2 linked regions of the Ovis aries genome follow. The protein of the gene in region 1 purifies or fractionates together with the protein of each later gene. This does not show direct contact. Links are inferred from orthologs where the notes say so. Each region holds a gene or a part of one and is shown on either strand. Other genes may lie near its edges.

Region 1 (8,861 bases):
TTACCCTCAGCAGGCTCCCCACATGCTTCCTTCTCCCTGTTAGGCTCCCTTCCTCACACTCAAACCTTAGTGTCGTACCTGCTGCCCCTGAATACATACGCACAAGCCCCCTGATTTCTGAGTGCTGTGCTGTCGATGACTGTGAAAAAACAGATGTGGGAAGCAAGGAAAAGGGTGCGTGCATGCTAAGTCACAACCAGCTCTTTGCAGCCCCGTGGACTGTAGCCCGCCAGGCTCCTCTGTCCATGGGATTTCCCAGGCAGAAACACTGGAGTGGGTGCCATTTCCTCCTCCAGGGGATCTTCCGACCCAGGGATCGAACCCACATCTCTGTGTCTCCTACACTGACAGGTGGATTCTTCACCACCGCGCCACCTGGGAAGCCCAGACCACTGGACTGCCGGGAAAGTCCCTAGATAGCTGTGAGGGCATTCTAACGGCCATTGGTCTATTGGGTTTTGACTCCCTCTGGAAATTAAAAGTGAATATTTTTGAGACACCCCCTTCCAGATACCAGACCCCCCATCCCCTCTGGTATTTTGATTTTGCTTTCTAGAAGTTCTTCTTCCTTGGTCTGCAGATGTAATCACAGTGGAGCAGTAAGTGACTCTTCTGGACTCTACTTTTCTGAGGGCTTCTAAGCTGGATGGCATCCATTTGTTAAGCTTGGTTCAGGAAACAAGAGTTAGGGCTTAGTAAAATATTAGAAACACCATATATTATGGACTGAAATGTGTTTATATAAAATTTATTTTACAGAAGGCGACTGTGAAGCCATAGTGTTTAGGTCTGTAGTCACCCAGGGCCAGGCAGGGCTGCACTCAGGCAGTGTTCCCTTTCCTTTGGTTTAGATTGACTCAAGTGATTATTCCACCATAACTGACAGCTCTTCTACATGAGAAACAAATTGTAAACATGTTTATTAGAATTCAATCACATGATCAAATAAAACTGAGAGTTAAAACTGGCATACTTGTTAGGCACATGATTTTGATAGTGCTGAGTGGAATTTTGACATTATTACAGAGCAGCTCACATAAGCGTGCAGTCAGCTCCCTTCTTTGTACCTGTGGAGTTCCTAAGACCGTATGTGGGAATACCATATGTAGATGCTGTAAGTTGCACCACAAGTTAACACGCTGAAAGTGATTTTTTTTTTTTTTAATGGGGGAAAAAATGACCGTTTATTGAGCACTTCCTGTATGTTCAGGCATTTTGGGCACAATAGTTCTATATCTTGGATTTTGCAAGATTGATATTATTATTTCAGTTTTGTAGGTGATAAAGGTTAGGAGAAGTGATGCACCCAAAGGCACACAGAGCTGAAATAAAACCTACCTATATTTGGTTTCAGAGTTGATACTTATTTTATTATTCCAGGCTTTGTCTTTATCGTACAGTCTTTACATTTCCCTGATTCTGAAGATGGTCTTATTTTTTTACAACATGGGATAAAGTGTCAGAAAGGAAAATGTAGCATGTACTTGGATATTTTCTATCCTTCCTATAGACATAGATATATTGCTGCTAAGTCGCTTCAGTCGTGCCCGACTCTGTGCGACCCCGTAGACGGCAGCCCACCAGGCTCTTCCGTCCCTGGGATTCTCTAGGCAAGAACGCTGGAGTAGGTTGCCATTTCCTTCTCCATGAAAGTGATTTATGTTTCTAAAGACCTGTAATAAAATTTCCCTCTCATTTTTATGTGAAAGTCCCGTTTTGTTTTCATATCTTTATCACCATCTTGGAGGGTCTGTTTCTAATTATGTTTACTAATTTGAGCTCATCAGTGTACTCAGCTCACACCTAATGAGCCTGTCATTGAAATGAAAGATTACGCTACTTGTGGTTGGTTTACTTTTTAATTTTGAGGTTTGTCCCCAGTGTTCTAAAGAGCCTTGTTCTTAGACTTCACTGTTTATCACAATGAGTGGAACTTACTTTTTAAAAATTTTAAAATTTTTTAAGTGAGGGCAAGTACAATATAATCTCAGATGGTGCAATAAGAAAGAATTAGTAGGTAAAGAATCCACCTACCAATTCAGGAGCTGCAGGAAACTCAGGTTCGATCACTGGGGTTGGGAAGGTCCCCTGGAGGAAGAAATGGCAGCCCACTCCAGGATTCTTGCCTGAAGAATTTCATGGACAGAGGAGCCTCACGGGCTTCAGTCCATGGGGTCGCAAAGAGCCGGACACAGTTCGCATGCAGTCAAGATACAGTAAAAATTCAGATTGCACAAACACTAATGTTCAGTGGTGGAATGATACCAAAACCGACGATCATTCATTTGTTTCAAATGATACACAAAAATCCAAGTCTTACCTGAAGGGCAATTCAGAAGAGTTAGTTTTTAATGTTTTAAAAGGTGGTTTAAGATAATTTTGTACAATGGAATCAAATGTTTAATCTCTTATTTTTCACGTTTAGTTTTTTGTTTTTGTCTTCATAGAATGGGAAATCTAAAGAGCAGCAGCAGCCTGTGAGAATGAGTCAGGGGTTCATCAACCAACATACGGTGCAACGCCAGGGAAAGCAAATTTGTAAATACTTTCTTGAAAGGAAGTGTATTAAGGTATAGTATAAGCAAAAAAAATAGATGTAAGGTATAGCAAAAATGTTCTAAAACCAGCTTCTGTTTCTGTTAGACACTGCAAAAGCATACCTGTATAATTTTAGAACTTTTTTCTTTCTGGAAAGGTTTCAAGTAGAAAATTTTACTGAAATATTCTTTTGTATTTAGAAAGTAGTAATGTAATTCCACAGTGATAAGAGAACAGACTCTGTATGATTTTAATACTTTAGACCATGAAATTTTTGTACCTTGTTTTATGTCTCTGAAAATAGATAATTTTTTTTAAATGCTTTGTGTTAAAAATGTTAAGGACTTGACAAATTGCAAGCCAAAATATGTAATACGATGCAGTTATAATAGCTCTTTAAAAAGCAGACTATACTGCTTCTAAGACTTTGTTTTCTTCTGGAATCATTTGCTTATCCAGAATTAAGTAGGAATTGTAATGGCTTAACTGTGAGAAATAATAGCTTTCCCTTGTTTCTTCCTTTGGCCCAGGGAGACCAATGTAAATTTGATCATGATGCAGAGATAGAGAAGAAAAAGGAAATGTGTAAGTTTTATGTACAAGGATATTGTACCAGAGGGGAAAACTGCCTTTATTTGCATAATATCCTTTATCACAAGATACAGTAAATTTACTTTTCATAAATGTTTACATGAATGTAAAATTTTGAATGAAACAAATGTTTTAACCATGGCAAAATTATATTATCTAAGCTCAACTCAGTATTGAAGTGATTAAATTGTTCACAGATTAGAAATTCTCTCAAATGTACATCCTCTCTAACTGGGTAGTGTAACAGGGTCATGAGACCTTACAGTTTAGGTCCCAGGAATACTTTCTCAGAATTTCTGCTGTGACATCCCTGAATTGAATCTGTATTCATGAAATCTGCTTCATAAAAGAGGCAGGAATTGCATAGTTTGGGAGTACTTCTTTTCTGTTATACTGTGTGCTGTATAGAGATTAATTGTCCCTTAATTGAAGAGTAACCCTAACTCTTGAGTATAAATGGTCTAGACATGCTATGAAAACATGGAACATAACATTTTAGGACAACTGCACATTTGGTCACCACAAAAGTTGTTTTCCTTTAAGTCATTCAATATGAGGAATCTCAAACCCTAACTTGAGAAATTTTTCCTGGAAAATAATATCAGAGTTATGTATATGGATCCCATTTTAAACAAGTCTAACAAGGATCCAGATTTGCAAGACACATTATTGTTACTGACTTTAATTCCCTCACCCCAAAAGAATACTTTAAAAATAGTCAAATTTCTCTAAGTATTTAAAATGCACATCTCTTTTGTCTTATCAGTGAAACATACCTGTGGTTTAAGAATGATTATGAGGGAGAAATTTGTCCTGTGATAGCCAATAAACTTCATGTGTATAATCATCCTAAAGTTAATTTTCTTATAACCCAGTTAATAATTTATTGTCTCGTGCTTTATTTTGTTAAGAATGGATCTTTTTATTTTTAATTCATTAATTTATTTGGCTGTCCTGGATCTTAGTTGCAGCACGTGGGATCTTTAGCATGTGGGCTTTAGTTCCCCGACCAGGGATTGAACCCTGGACCCCTGCATCGGGAGTGCTGAGTCTCAGCCAGTGGACCACCAGGGAAGTCCTGTCGTCTCATATTTTACATAGAGAATTTAATGTTTCCACTAGTAGAAAAGAACTTCATGAAGGAAAAATAAAGTTATTAGATTAATAGTAAGTTATATTAGCAGGATTAAAATTTTTTTCTTCCTTAACACTTGCGTTACATGAATATCCTTGCAAGTTTTACCATACAGGAGCAAAATGTTATCAGGGAGAATACTGCAAGTTTTCACATGCTCCATTGACTGATGAAACACAAGAACTGTTGGCTAAAGTAAGTACAATTTTAATTTTTGTTTTTCTTCTTTAAAGAATACGTTTGAACCTAAGGGTGGGAATTTAAAAAGACACTTATTTAAGCAGAGTGCTTCATGGGTTAGCATATGGGTTATATTACGACAACTTACTTCAGTATAGAAAATTATTATTCATTTGTATGTTTTCCCTTGTAGCTTAAAGGAAAATTTATACTTGTTGCTGGTATAAATTGAAATGTTCTTAAAAACTTCAGTGTATTTAGCGACTTCAGTAGCTATGTCAGCCAATGGAAAACAAAGCAGATAGGAGAAATAGTACTCCTGATACACTCTTAGAAGGAAAGTTAAGGATCATTGGTTGATAAATATTTTAGAGTTACATCAAAGCATACTCAAATAATTATTTCAAAGTTTTCTTCAAAAGCTCTTTCAGATTGTAAGAAAAGATAGTTGAAAAATAATAGTTGTTTATGTCCTTTCATTTCCATGTGTAAGTTGGACCTGATTTCTTCAAAATTAAATTGAAATGTGAGTGAAAAGAAAAGATTCTTTTTTTTTTAATTTTTACTTTATTTTACTTTATAATACTGTATTGGTTTTGCCATACATTGACATGAATCCGCCAGGGGTGTACATGAGTTCCCAGTCCTGAACCCCCCCTCCCACCTCCCACCCCATATCATCTCTCTGGATCAGCCCCGTGCACCAGCCCCCAGCATCCCGTATCCTGATCGAACATAGACAGGCGATTCATTTCTTACATGATAGTATACATGTTTCAGTGCTATTCTCCCAAATCATCCCACCCTCTCCATCTCCCTCAGAGTCCAAAAGTCCGTTCTATACATCTGTGTCTTTTTTGCTGTCTCGCATACAGGGTTATCCTTACCATCTTTCTAAATTCCATATATATGTGTTAGTATACTGTATTGGTGTTTTTCTTTCTGGCTTACTTCACTATGTATGATCGGCTCCAGTTTCATCCACCTCATGAGAACTGATTCAAATGTATTCTTTTTAATGGCTGAGTGATACTCCATTGTGTATATGTACCACAGCTTTCTTATCCATTCATCTGCTGATGGACGTCTAGGTTGTTTCCATGTCCTGGCTATTATAAACAGTGCTGCGATGAACATTGGGGTCTCAATTCTGGTTTCCTCAGTGTCTATGCCCAGCAGTGGGATTGCTGGGTCATAAGGCAGTTCTATCTGCAATTTTTTAAGGAATCTCCACACTGTCCTCCATAGTGGCTGTACTAGTTTGCATTCCCACCAACAGTGTAGGAGGGTTCCTTTTTCTCCACACCCTCTCCAGCATTTATTGCTTGCAGACTTCCAGATCGCAGCTATTCTGACTAGTGTGAAATGGTACCTAATTGTGGTCTTGATTTGCATTTCTCTGATAATGAGTGATGTTGAGCATCTTTTCATGTGTTTGTTAGCCATCCATATGTCTTCTTTGGAGAAATGTCTATGTAGTTCTTTGGCCCATTTTTTGATTGGGTCGTTTATTTTTCTGGAATTGAGCTTCAGGTGTTGCTTGTATATTTTTGAGATTAGTTGTTTGTCAGTTGCTTCATTTGCTATTATTTTCTCCCATTCAGAAGGCTGTCTTTTCACCTTGCTTATAGTTTCCTTTGTTGTGCAGAAGCTTTTCATTTTAATTAGATCCCATTTGTTTATTTTTGCTTTTATTTCCAGTATTCTGGGATGTGCAATCTCTTTAACAAGTGGTGCTGGGAAAACTGGTCAACCACTTGTAAAAGAATGAAACTAGATCACTTTCTAACACCACACACAAAAATAAACTCAAAATGGATTAAAGATCTAAACGTAAGACCTGAAACTATAAAACTCCTAGAGGAGAACATAGACAAAACACTCTCCGAAAAGATTCTTTTGAAACCAGACTGTTTAATCTTGCAACAAAAACTCCCTTGAGCATATGCAAATATTGGAAAGTCAAAGGTCCTTATTTCTGAAAAGTCAAAGGTCCTTATGTTTTTAGTTTTGAAATAGGAAGAGTTATCCTGGAATTAGAAATTATAGCAAATATTTGGTTGTTTATTACCATGAAGCATATATGGAAAAAATGATGTATATAGAATTCATTTTCCAGTTCCCCTTTTAATAAGTATTATTAGGTAATTACTAGGATTAATGGTGTAGGAATCTTTAGGAAATTATAAGAAAAAAAAAAAAGGAAAATTATAAGAGTATGATGATGTACCTGAATTAGATAGTACATGAAAATGATTGTGAATTTTTTTTCCCCTCTATATTAGATTTTGGATCCTGAAAGGAAGTCATCATGAAAATAAAATAGCTGAAAAAGGTAAAATTAAAATTTAACATTTCTTTTCCCCCTCTGAAATGTCTCTAGAAATCAGCATGGGAACATATATTTTCTCAAATAGAAGTCTTTTTCTTGCTCACTTAAAAAAGTTATACAATGTTTGACAGATATAAGTAGATATGTATGTGGGTCTCTGTGGGTCTACTTCCCACTCTGGATTTGTCACTGTCTTTCTGTATTTTTATTCTCTTGTTTTATTCTTTGTAGACTTACCAAACGGGTAAGGTTAACTGAATATTATGCTTGGGTTTGGATATTATTTTAAACAGTATCATATTTGATATTTATTAGTGACTTGCTATTTTTACTCGTCATTATGCTTCTAAGGTTCACTCATGTATATGCATGCAGCTGTCATTCATTTGTACTCTTGTAGAACATTTTTTTCTATGAATATATTACAATTTATTTAGACATTCTACTGTTGATGGACATTGAGGTTATTTTCAATTTTTAAAGTACAAACTCTTATTATAAAAAAGTGTTTTACCTGTCTTCTGATGGAAATGTGTGTGAGTTGTCCTGAGTATGAATCAGGAAGTAGAATTGTATCATCTTAAAACTTAAGATGATCTGTATACTTATGCCTGATTTATATTGTGGTACAGCAGAAACTAATACAACATTGTAAAGCAATTTTTTTCCAATTAAAAAAATAATAAACTTAGGATAATGCCAGTCTTTTCTAAAGTAGTTCTTACAGTTTTTATTCCCACCAACTATGTAAAAGAAATTCCATTACTCCACCTTCAGAAATGGTATGGACCTGACAGAAGCAAAAGATATTAAGAAGAGCTGGCAAGAATACACAGAAGAACTGTATAAAAAAAATCTTCACGACCCAGATAATCACGATGGTGTGATCACTCACCTAGAGCCAGACATCCTGGAGTGTGAAATTAAGTGAGCCTTAGGAAGCATCACTATGAACAAAGCTAGTGGAGGTTATGGAATTCCAGTTGAGCTATTTCCCAAATCCTAAAAGATGATGCTGTGAAAGTGCTGCACTCAATATGCCAGCAAATTCGGAAAACTCAGCAGTGGCCACCGGACTGGAAAAGGTCAGTTTTCATTCCAATCCCAAAGAAGGGCAATGCCAAAGAATGTTCAAACTACCGCACAATTGCATTCATCTCACACGTTAGTAAAGTAATGCTCAAAATTCTCCAAGCCAGGCTTCAGCAATACGTGAACCGTGACTTTCCAGATGTTCAAGCTGGTTTTAGAAAAGCAGAACCAGAGATCAAATTGCCAACATCTGCTGGATCATGGAAAAAGCAAGAGAGTTCCAGAAAAACATCTATTTCTGCTTTATTGACTATGCCAAAGCCTTTGACTGTGTGGATCACAATAAACTGCAAAATTCTGAAAGAGATGGGGATACTAGATCACCTGACCTGCCTCTTGAGAAACCTGTATGCAGGTCAGGAAGCAACAGTTAGAACTGGACATGGAACAACAGACTGGTTCCAAATAGGAAAAGGAGTACGTCAAGGCTGTATATTGTCACCCTGCTTATTTAACTTACATGCAGAGTACATCATGAGAAACGCTGGGCTGGAAGAAGCACAAGCTGGAATCAAGACTGCCAGGAGAAATATCAATAACCTCAGATACGCAGATGACACCACCCTTATGGCAGAAAGTGAAGAAGAACTAAAGAGCCTCTTGATGAAAGTGAAAGAGGAGAGTGAAAAAGTTGGCTTAAAGCTCAGCATTCAGAAAACTTAAGATCATGGCATCTGGTCCCATCACTTCATGGGAAATAGATGGGGAAACAGTGGCAGACTCTGTCTTTTGGGGCTCCAAAATCACCACAGATGGTGATTGCAACCGTGAAATTAAAAGACGCTGACTCCTTGGAAGGAAAGTTATGACCAACCTAGACAGCATATTGAAAAGCAGAGACATTACTTTGCCAACAAAGGTCCATCTAGTCAAGGCTATGGTTTTTCCAGTAGTCATGTATGGATTTGAGAGTTGCACTGTAAAGAAAGCTGAGTGCCGAAAAATTGATGCTTTTGAACTGTGGTGTTGGAGAAGACTCTTGAGAGTCCCTTG
Region 2 (8,961 bases), on another chromosome or scaffold:
GAGCGTGCGCACGTGTATGCATATATGATGTATGGATCCAACTTAGAGCCTTCTAGATGGCTACCTAGTCGTTGCCATACAGTTTATTAAATCATGTGTCTCCTCTAAACTCCCACTTTTATAATATTCCAATTCCAATGTGTATTTGGATACATTTGAAAGAAATTAAAGTTTTTCTTGATATTTAAAAAAAAAAAAGAAAAGGAAGAAAGAAACCTGGTCATTAAAGACAATGGAGGTGAGAAAGAAGAGGTGAGAGTATAAAGGCCCCTGACACCAAACAGGTTAAGAACCATTAATCTAGACAGAATAGACGTGCCAGTCTTTCGAGAGAAAGAAATTATGCCCTGGTTCCAAGCTTCTGAACAATTTGTTCCAAAGAACTTTGCATAACCAATGTGACTGGAGAAGGAAATGGCAATCCATTCCAGCACTATTGCCCGGAAAATCCCATGGACAGAGGAGCCTGGTAGGCTACAGTCCATCGGGTCACCAAGAATCGGACACGACCAATGTGAACTCTAGGGTTGCCAGACAGAATACAGGGCAATATTTCAGAGATGCATACTCACACTAAAAAATTATTCACTGTTTATCTGAAATTCAAGTTTAACAGAGTGTCCTATTTTAGGTTTGGGTTTTTGTTTTTCGTTTTTCTTTGGTTGCACTAGGTCTTAGTTGCAGCATGTGGGGTCTTCTGTCCTCACTGTGGCATGCAGAATCCTTCACTGTGGCATGTGAGCTTTTCACTGCAACACGTGGGATCTGTTTCCCTGACTAGGGATCGAACCTGGACTCCTTGCTTTGGGAGCAAGGAGTCTTAGCCATTGGATCACCAGGAAAGTCCCAGGTTTGGGGTTTTTAAAAAATTTATTTTAGGTTTTTTAGCTAAATCTGGCAAATCATTTGTGAAACATGAAAGGAAGGAAGGAAAAAGGAAACAGTGAAAACAAATAAGACTTACAATAAATTCTTGGCTTTCCATTACTTCTTCTGAAATTAGGTTCAGGTGCAGAAAATAATCAGTAGTCATTCAACTATTTATAGCACCTAAAATGAAAAAAGACAAATATTCAACCCTGATGAACAGAATAAGTATCAACTACAATTTTTCCCCACCAACTCTTGACCAGAGAGGGGTATTTAAGTGTTGAGACTATGTAATCACCAAGGGAAACACACATGTAGGGAATTCCCTGGCAGTCCAGTGGTTTGCACTCTGTGCTTTCACTGCAAAGGGCTGGCATCAATCACTGGTCAGGGAACAAAGATTCCACAAGCTTCCAGGGTAAGCCAAAAGAAAAAAAACCAACCCACAGATGAGTAGGCTGCAGACATTTTTCCAGGTGCCATAATATATATCAGAAAATGGATTCTCTCCCCGCCCCAGAAGCTTGGTTTCTCTAAGAGCTTCAATTTTAAAATTCTCTGAATTGCTACGATCACCACAAGATGGCCCCCTTGCATTTCAAATTTTTCCTTTTACCTTTTCAAAGTCAATGTAACATAGTATCTAAAACCAAATATACATTATAATACACTCTCCAAGGAAAAACTTTTTCAATATAATTGCAATGAGTACTATATTTATCCCATGCTATTGGATAAAACTATTATTGTGGGCAAATCTGGAAATCTAATATCACTGACAATGAACTGAAGTAAACAGAGATGCCGAAGAAAAGTATTATTATTTTTAACCACTGCCTTAGATCCCTGGGCCAATAGCATTAGCAACACCTGGGAGCTAGTTAGAAATTCAAATTCTTGAGTCTTGAGCTATTAAATCATAAAGGCTGGCATTGGGGTCCAGTACCTGTAATTTAAAACGCACTGCAGGTGCAGTGATACACACTCAAGTTTGAAACCTACAGGTATTCAATAAAGCAATAATTTGCAATTCTGGATTAAATTCATCCTTTATATGTATAAAATGTACAAAAAATAGACCACCTACATGTTATTTATAAATAACATATATTTAGTACTTACTGTGTGCTATGTATTGTGTGTACATAGCGCTAGGCCAAGATACTAAAATGAACAAACTACTACTCCTAGTCTCAAGGAATTTCAGTATAGCAGGGTAATAAACAGTAATTACAAAAAATATGGAAGGAAAAGCACTGGAGGGACACCCAACTCAGTCTAGGGCATCAAACAAGGTTTCCTGAAAGACATAATGCATATACTGTGAACCGAAATAATCATTAACCAAGGAAAAATCCCAAGGAGGGTATTTCCAAATAAGAATAACACGTACAAAAAAGCTGTGGAAGGCATAATCAAGGAACTCTAGTTTATAATCAAGTGTAAGATAGTGAGTTGTGAGAGATAAGTCTGAAAAAGTGAGCAATAACAGGATGCGAAGGGCATTCTATTTTATGCTAAGTTGTTCGGACTTTTTAAAAAGACAGTAGGAGGCCAAGGCAGAATTTCAAGAATACGTTAACATAATCTGACTTGGGTTTTACCAAGATTGCTCTGGCTGCTAAATGGAGAAAGGGCAGGGCAAACGGTACACAAATGAGAAATGAATGCTTGTCCCATGATATAGTTCACAGCACAGGGCCAGACCTACAGAGGCACTGCCTTTCAGAAATATAACTCCATATCCTAATCCCTCCCCTCCAGCTAACAGGATTGACAGATGCCTAGTGAATGCCAAGAAGATAACAGAGGTCCAAAGAAACACATAGTTGACTGCTGGTTGAACAGCAACTTGCTTCTAGCCACTGAATGGGTTAGACATCAAATATATGTAGATAAGACTACATAGTGTCAACACAATGCTTGGCATGTAGCAGTTAACATTAGATCCCTTTAATAACAGTTATTATTTATTCAGTGTAAATTATATGCTAGAACACTGTTAAAATGCTTTAAATTTTACACCTTATAGTACAGATACTACTTTTTATATTCATTTTACAAAAACAGGAAGTGAGGTACATCAGTATGTAATTTGCCTAAGCTCATGAAGTAAATAAATGGCAGATTCAGAATTTAAAACTAAGTAGTCTAAATTCTGGTGTTCCCATTCACAAAAACTACATTATGTGACTATGGAAAACCTACTGTAACAGGCAAGAATGGGACTGGATTCTTTACATATAATATTTATCAGTCTCATAGTCCTAAAAGTTGTTATTACCATCACAATTTACAGGTTAGAAATCCAGTATTTACTTCTTTAGGATTACTTATATGCTGTTTACCAACTGCAAAATAAATTCCCCCATTGTTTTCCTAAATTAGAAATATTACTTGAGGGATTTGCGATGTAAAAGGTATTGAGACGGTCCTAACTCTTGTTAAGTGGTAGATTAAAGAATTACACTTCAAAAAAAAGGGAGAGATTAAATGTTTTGCGATAATTTAGTACAGAAATACATACATATCTTCACACACATTATTGTGCTGTTTTTTAGATTTATGTATAAAATTCGGTGTTATCACTAAAATATGACCTGTTCTTGCTAAGTACGATGAGATGTTTTTGGTCCTTTTCTTTTGGAACAAGCAGGATCTTTCGAATCCCTAAGTGGTTCACAGATTTAAAAATTTAAGAATCACGAGCCCAATAGCCTTTTAAGAAACGGTCCAGTCCAGACAACCAAAAGATGCTCACATTTCATTTGCCAACGTTCTAATTATCACTAGCTTGTGTAACCAGATGACAATGAAGAAGGGACCCTTTGTCAGTCCTAAAAATAAACAGCAAAACCATCCCGGGTTCTCACACGGATACCGGAACTGCCCAGCAGGAGTTGGGGGAAGGTGGTAAAGACGAAGCACTAATTATTTACAGGTTGCTGCGCCAAGCCGTGAACCAACCTTATCTCCACACAGTTTCGTTACCGAACCCCGTCTGGCGGAGCAAACTCCTTCGCCCGTCGCATCAAAATCAGTGACAGCACCTCGAGCTCAAAACTCCAGCCTATCTACCCTCAATCCCCAGAAACTCCCGAGTGGAAACAGCTCTTTTAACTTGCTCATTGCACAAAACCCACTTTCGAACTTCTCCCGCGAAAAGCCGTGACATCATCAACTCGCGACCGCACCAGATCCAACCCCACTATTTAGCCCGCCCACCACGGCTCCGGACCTGAATGGCCGTTTTCAAACTGCCAATCAAGTTCCTCTTTGGCTGCTAGCCTCTGTGGCGACTGCGTTCTCCGATGTCCCGCCCCCACGCTGAGCGGGCCTACGCCAGTGACGTAAATGTCGGTCGCACAACCTCTGGGCCCATCTTTTCCAAGGCGTTCGGAAGAATTGTCGCTCATGTGACGCTAAAATAACCACGACTATAAGGTTCGGGGGACGCGAAGGACTGAAGAACGCAGTCTCTGGCGCTGTATTTTGGGAATTGGACAGAGTAAGTTCTAAGTGGACTCTAGGGAAGCCCAGGTTGGGTGAGATCTAAATTACTCTCAGTCTTTTTCTATGCCGGTCCTTTCTGTCATCTCTGGTCCTTCTCATCCCGCCCCCTCCCACCAACCCATCAGTTAGATTGCCCTAGTGTCCTGGTTCTCTGTGCGCACGCGCAAGAGTCCTCCGGCAGCCCTTGCAGTTCCAGTTTTCTAGTGATTGGGGGCGCTTGCCGCCCGGTTTTGGGAGGTTTGGGGTAGTCCCGCGTCTGACGGCTTCCTTGAGGAAGGACGGGTACCTAAAGGGGCAGTAGTCAAAAGGGGAATTGCTTTTCTTCGCAGATTCGAGTTTTGGTGGCCAAACGATAGCGAATGTGGACTTGTATTTTTAAATTAAGTCATTTCCTTTTTCAGAACTTTTGTCTCTGTCATTCAGAGAGCTGAACATCCAGTTATGGAAGGAAGAAAAAATACAGTGTATTATTGAGTGCGTTAATAGACATACTTAAAAGGGAAACAGATGAGGCGGTTGTTTAGGGGAAATGTGCTAGCAGAAAGCTAGAAAGAGTAAGATGCCGTTTAACCTGGGCCTTGAAAATTGAATAGGACTTGATAAGACAAGGAAGACAAGAAGCTTTTAAAGCAGAGGCACAGAGACAAGAAAGTAGGCAACGCTGGATAGTCAGATGTGACTAGAACTATAGTTCTCTTAACCTTTTTGACACACCATTTCCTTTTAAAACGTGATTTAAAAGATATGGATGAGCCTCCCAGGAAAATACATATACATCTCTAAATATTTTCTATAACCTTTTAAAGAAAAATTGTGAAAGACGTTGAAATAGCCAAAAAAAAAGAGGTGTCTAGCTTACTTTTCCAGCTTACCTCTGCTTTTCATTGTCATTGAGCTATGTTACAATTATGTAAGTTATAATTGAAATAAGTCTTAAGAGTTATTGCCCTGATTAGTGTTACATCTGTTAACAAGTTCATTTCAATATTTTTGCTTGCTTGTATTTGCGCTTGTCTAGTTTTTGAGTTCACCTTTGAACTGGTTTTTAGCACTTAACTAGTTCCCTGGTTAATTACTTAAATAAAATGATTGACGAGTTCATTTTATAAACGTAGAAAAGTCATGGTTTCACCTTTAAAATTTACCTTTGAAAATTTCGTGGGATTTACAATAATTTTTGAAATCCATCCCAAATTCCATGGATTTCAGGTTAAGAATTTCTGAGCCAGGAGAGATGGACTTGTGGACACAGCCGGGGTGGGGAGGGAGAGAGTGAATGAATGGAGAAGGTAGCATCAACAGATACACACTACCGTGTGTAAAATGGATAGCTGGTGAGAAGTTGCTGTATGACACAGGGAGCCCAGTCTGGTGCTCTGTGATGACCTAGAGGAGTGGGATGGAGAAAGGGGAGGGAGGCTCAAGAGTGAGGGTATATATGTATATTTATGACTGATGGTGGCGCTACTGTTAAAAAAATCTTGCCTCCCATTGCAGGCGATGTAAGATGCAATGTTAGATCCCTGAGTCAGGAAGATCCCCTGGAGGAGGGCATGGCAACCCACTCCAGTATTCTTGCCTGGAGAATTCCTTGGACAGAGAGGAGCCTGGATGGCTGCAGTCCATGGGATCACAAAGACTCAGACACTGCTGAAGCGACTTAGCACGAACACACAGATGGCTGATTCGCGTTGTTGTACAGCAGAAACCAACACAACATTGTAAAAAAAAAAAAAATTTAACAATTTAAAAAAAGGATTTCTGAGTCAAAACGTAGACTACATGGTAAGAGGTTGCAAGAGGTTCTACTAAAACTTAGGCAGTGTGAAAGTTAAACATACCTGAGCTTACTTACCTAGCTAGCTTTAGCCAGGTCACTTAACCTTTGAGCCTTTGTAAAAAGTTAAGAGAAATAACCTAGAGGGATTATGAGGATTTAAAACAAGGTGTGTAAAGTAACTGGTGTTACACAGTAACTTTTATTCTTTGTTTAAACCCTATGAAACTAGTTGATTCATTTAACAATTTTTTAAAAATATATGCTGTGTTACCAAAAGATGCTAAAGAATTATTATTGTTGAAAGTTTTAGCATTAGAGTCACAAAATTAGACCTGTGTTTAGACAAGTTACACAGCTTCTGTGAAGGATGGAGGACTTCTCAAACAATTTATAAACAATTTCCGTATTATTATAACAGTAGTTGTGGAAAACACTGGATGAAGATAAGAGCCATTCCAAAGGTTACATTGATAGGGATTAATGACAGATTGGTAAATGATAAAATGATAATAAATAACAGTTAGATATTGTTGACTGTGTGCTGTATAGCAGCAATGGAAAGTGCTTTATCCATTTTGGTTAATTTTTAAAACAACCCTAGTATGTCAGTATAAATTTTATTCCACTTTGTAGATCGTAGAAAGTTGAGTTAACTTGCCCCAAATCCATACAGCTAGTAAATAGCTCGACTGGTTAACTAAGTAGAATATGTCATCCTTAAAGAAAATGAGGGTGGTGAGAACAGCAGAACAGACATTGCTAAGAAAGATAAGAACTTTGATTTGGAATGTATGGAATGACAGTATACCTATTTGTTATCATAGGACATTGAAAAAGTAAACTATGACTATCATGTAACTTCCTGATCTTCTGCAACCAATGTGTAGCAAAGAGAACTTGTACCATAGCTTAATTCCTGTTTAATCTAATCCATATCTGTACTCGAAAATGAAGGTATATTTGATTCTCCACAGATTTTTAAGATTGAAAGTTGCAGAGTGTTATTCACATGGGGCAAGATTTTCTGAACTTAATTCTCCAGGCCGCAAAATATATATATATATATATTTATATATGGGAAAGGAAGGAGAGTATCAGGGCTGAGAAGAGAATGCTGGGAAAAGTCTGATTTCTGGGAGATTTGTGGCTTTCTGTGTTTATGCAGTTTTGTCCACTATCTCCTTAGATGGTGGCTTTGACGATGAAAACAAATGGAGAAGTAGTGTGTGTGTGAAGTCGCTCAGTGTTGTCCAACTCTTTGCAACCCCATGGACTGTAGCTTATCAGGGTCCTCCCTCCATGGGATTCTCCAGGCAAGAGTGCTGGAGTGGGTTGCCATTTCCTTCTCCAGGGGATCTTGCCGACCCAGGGATCGAACCCGGGTCTCCTGCATTCCAGGCAGATGCTTTAACCTCTGAGCCACCAGGAGAAGTGGTAATCTGCCCTTTATAGATTTTTCAGATGAAAGAGTTAGTAGTGAATTCTGTAGTGACGATCATAGCCTACATTTGTATTTTGTTTATAATTCTACCCCCTTACAAAATAACTTGAAATGCTCAATACTTGACAATTTATTAGATGCTGTTAGTTATATTACTTAACTAGACAATAAATGCCAAGGTTGTGATCAAGCTGAAGTCTCTGCCTTCTTAGTGTTTATATTATAATGAAGCAGGCAATAAAATTATAATTCCAGGCAGGAATAAGAGCATATAAGTATAGAAAGTGGTGAGTGAGGGAGGGTAGGGTTATGGTTGGCAGGGAAGGGATATTTTAGATTTGGTGAAAGAGAAAGCCTCTTTGAGAAAGTGACATTTGCAGAGGCCTGGGTGAACAAGGAAGTAATCCCTGCAGATGTGACAGGAAACCTGGGAAACAGCAGGAGCAAAAGCCGTGGAATGGGAATGCATTAGACTGTTCAAGGAACAGAACGATGGTGTGTTGAGGTTGTAATGAGCACCCTGAAAGAAGTTGCAAGTGACGAAGTTAGAGCGAAATCCCCAGGCCAGATGTAATAGGACCTATAGGCCACAATAAGGATTTTTTATTTTATTCTGACTGGGATAAGAAACCTTTGGAGGATTTTGTTCAAGAAATTGACATTTTATTTATATATTTAAATGATCACTCTGACTGCTATCTGGAGAATTGACAATGGAAGAGGAGTAGAAGCAAGTAAATGTGAGGATGTGTTTGAACTGCAGGCAAGGTACCCGTGATAGCTTGGAGCAGGTGGTTGTGATGGAAGAAATGAGGAGTCATACGAATTTTGAAAAGCTAGAGCTAACAGAAATGCTAATGAATTGGCTGTGGGGTGTGAGGAAGAAATTAAGGATTTCAGTGTTTGTGCCCTCTCAGCAGTTTTCACTGGTATTTTCCGAGACGGGAAAAACTAGGAAAAAAACGTGGTTTGCTAAAATTTGAGAGTTCAATTTAAGCTTGAGATATGCTTCAGATGAATAAGTGAAGAGGTCAGGTGGGTATTTGCGTGTTGGAATGGGGAGGTAATGGGGTAAGTCGGGAGTGGACAGGTTTGTGAAACATCAGCATAGAGAGCCATGGAGCTTAACGCCAGAGGCCCTCTGGAACGACATGTGTGTAGATAAGGGAGCCCAGGACTGACTGCATTCAGTCCTGGGCATCATGGAAAGGCAGAGCAGAGTCAGAGGGTCCAGAAAAGGAAATGGAGAAGACAACTCATGGAAGCCAAATGAGGAAAATGTTTTGTGAGGGAGTTAGCAACTGCAAATGCTCCTGAGAGGCCTGGTAGATAGTGGGGATCCTAGTTTTCAGTTTCA

Evidence for each region.
Region 2: the proteins of ZC3H8 (region 1) and LARP7 purify together in Homo sapiens (affinity purification with mass spectrometry; 4 studies listed by BioGRID and IntAct, counting the BioPlex papers as one, with this or other methods). This does not show direct contact. The link is inferred for Ovis aries from reciprocal best matches to the Homo sapiens genes ZC3H8 and LARP7.

Annotation. Positions count from the first base shown.
Region 1 is NC_056056.1:106,296,796-106,305,656, reverse strand, and holds part of ZC3H8 (zinc finger CCCH domain-containing protein 8), read left to right. Parts: intron 1-2,447; coding exon 2,448-2,570; intron 2,571-3,068; coding exon 3,069-3,182; intron 3,183-4,351; coding exon 4,352-4,459; intron 4,460-6,729; coding exon 6,730-6,759; 3' UTR 6,760-6,779; intron 6,780-7,530; exon of another isoform or gene 7,531-8,861.
Region 2 is NC_056059.1:13,386,145-13,395,105, reverse strand, and holds the start of LARP7 (la-related protein 7), read left to right. Parts: upstream 1-4,222; 5' UTR 4,223-4,378; intron 4,379-8,961. Other genes in the region: protein ZGRF1, read right to left, coding at 965-1,033. UniProt on the Homo sapiens protein: RNA-binding protein that specifically binds distinct small nuclear RNA (snRNAs) and regulates their processing and function.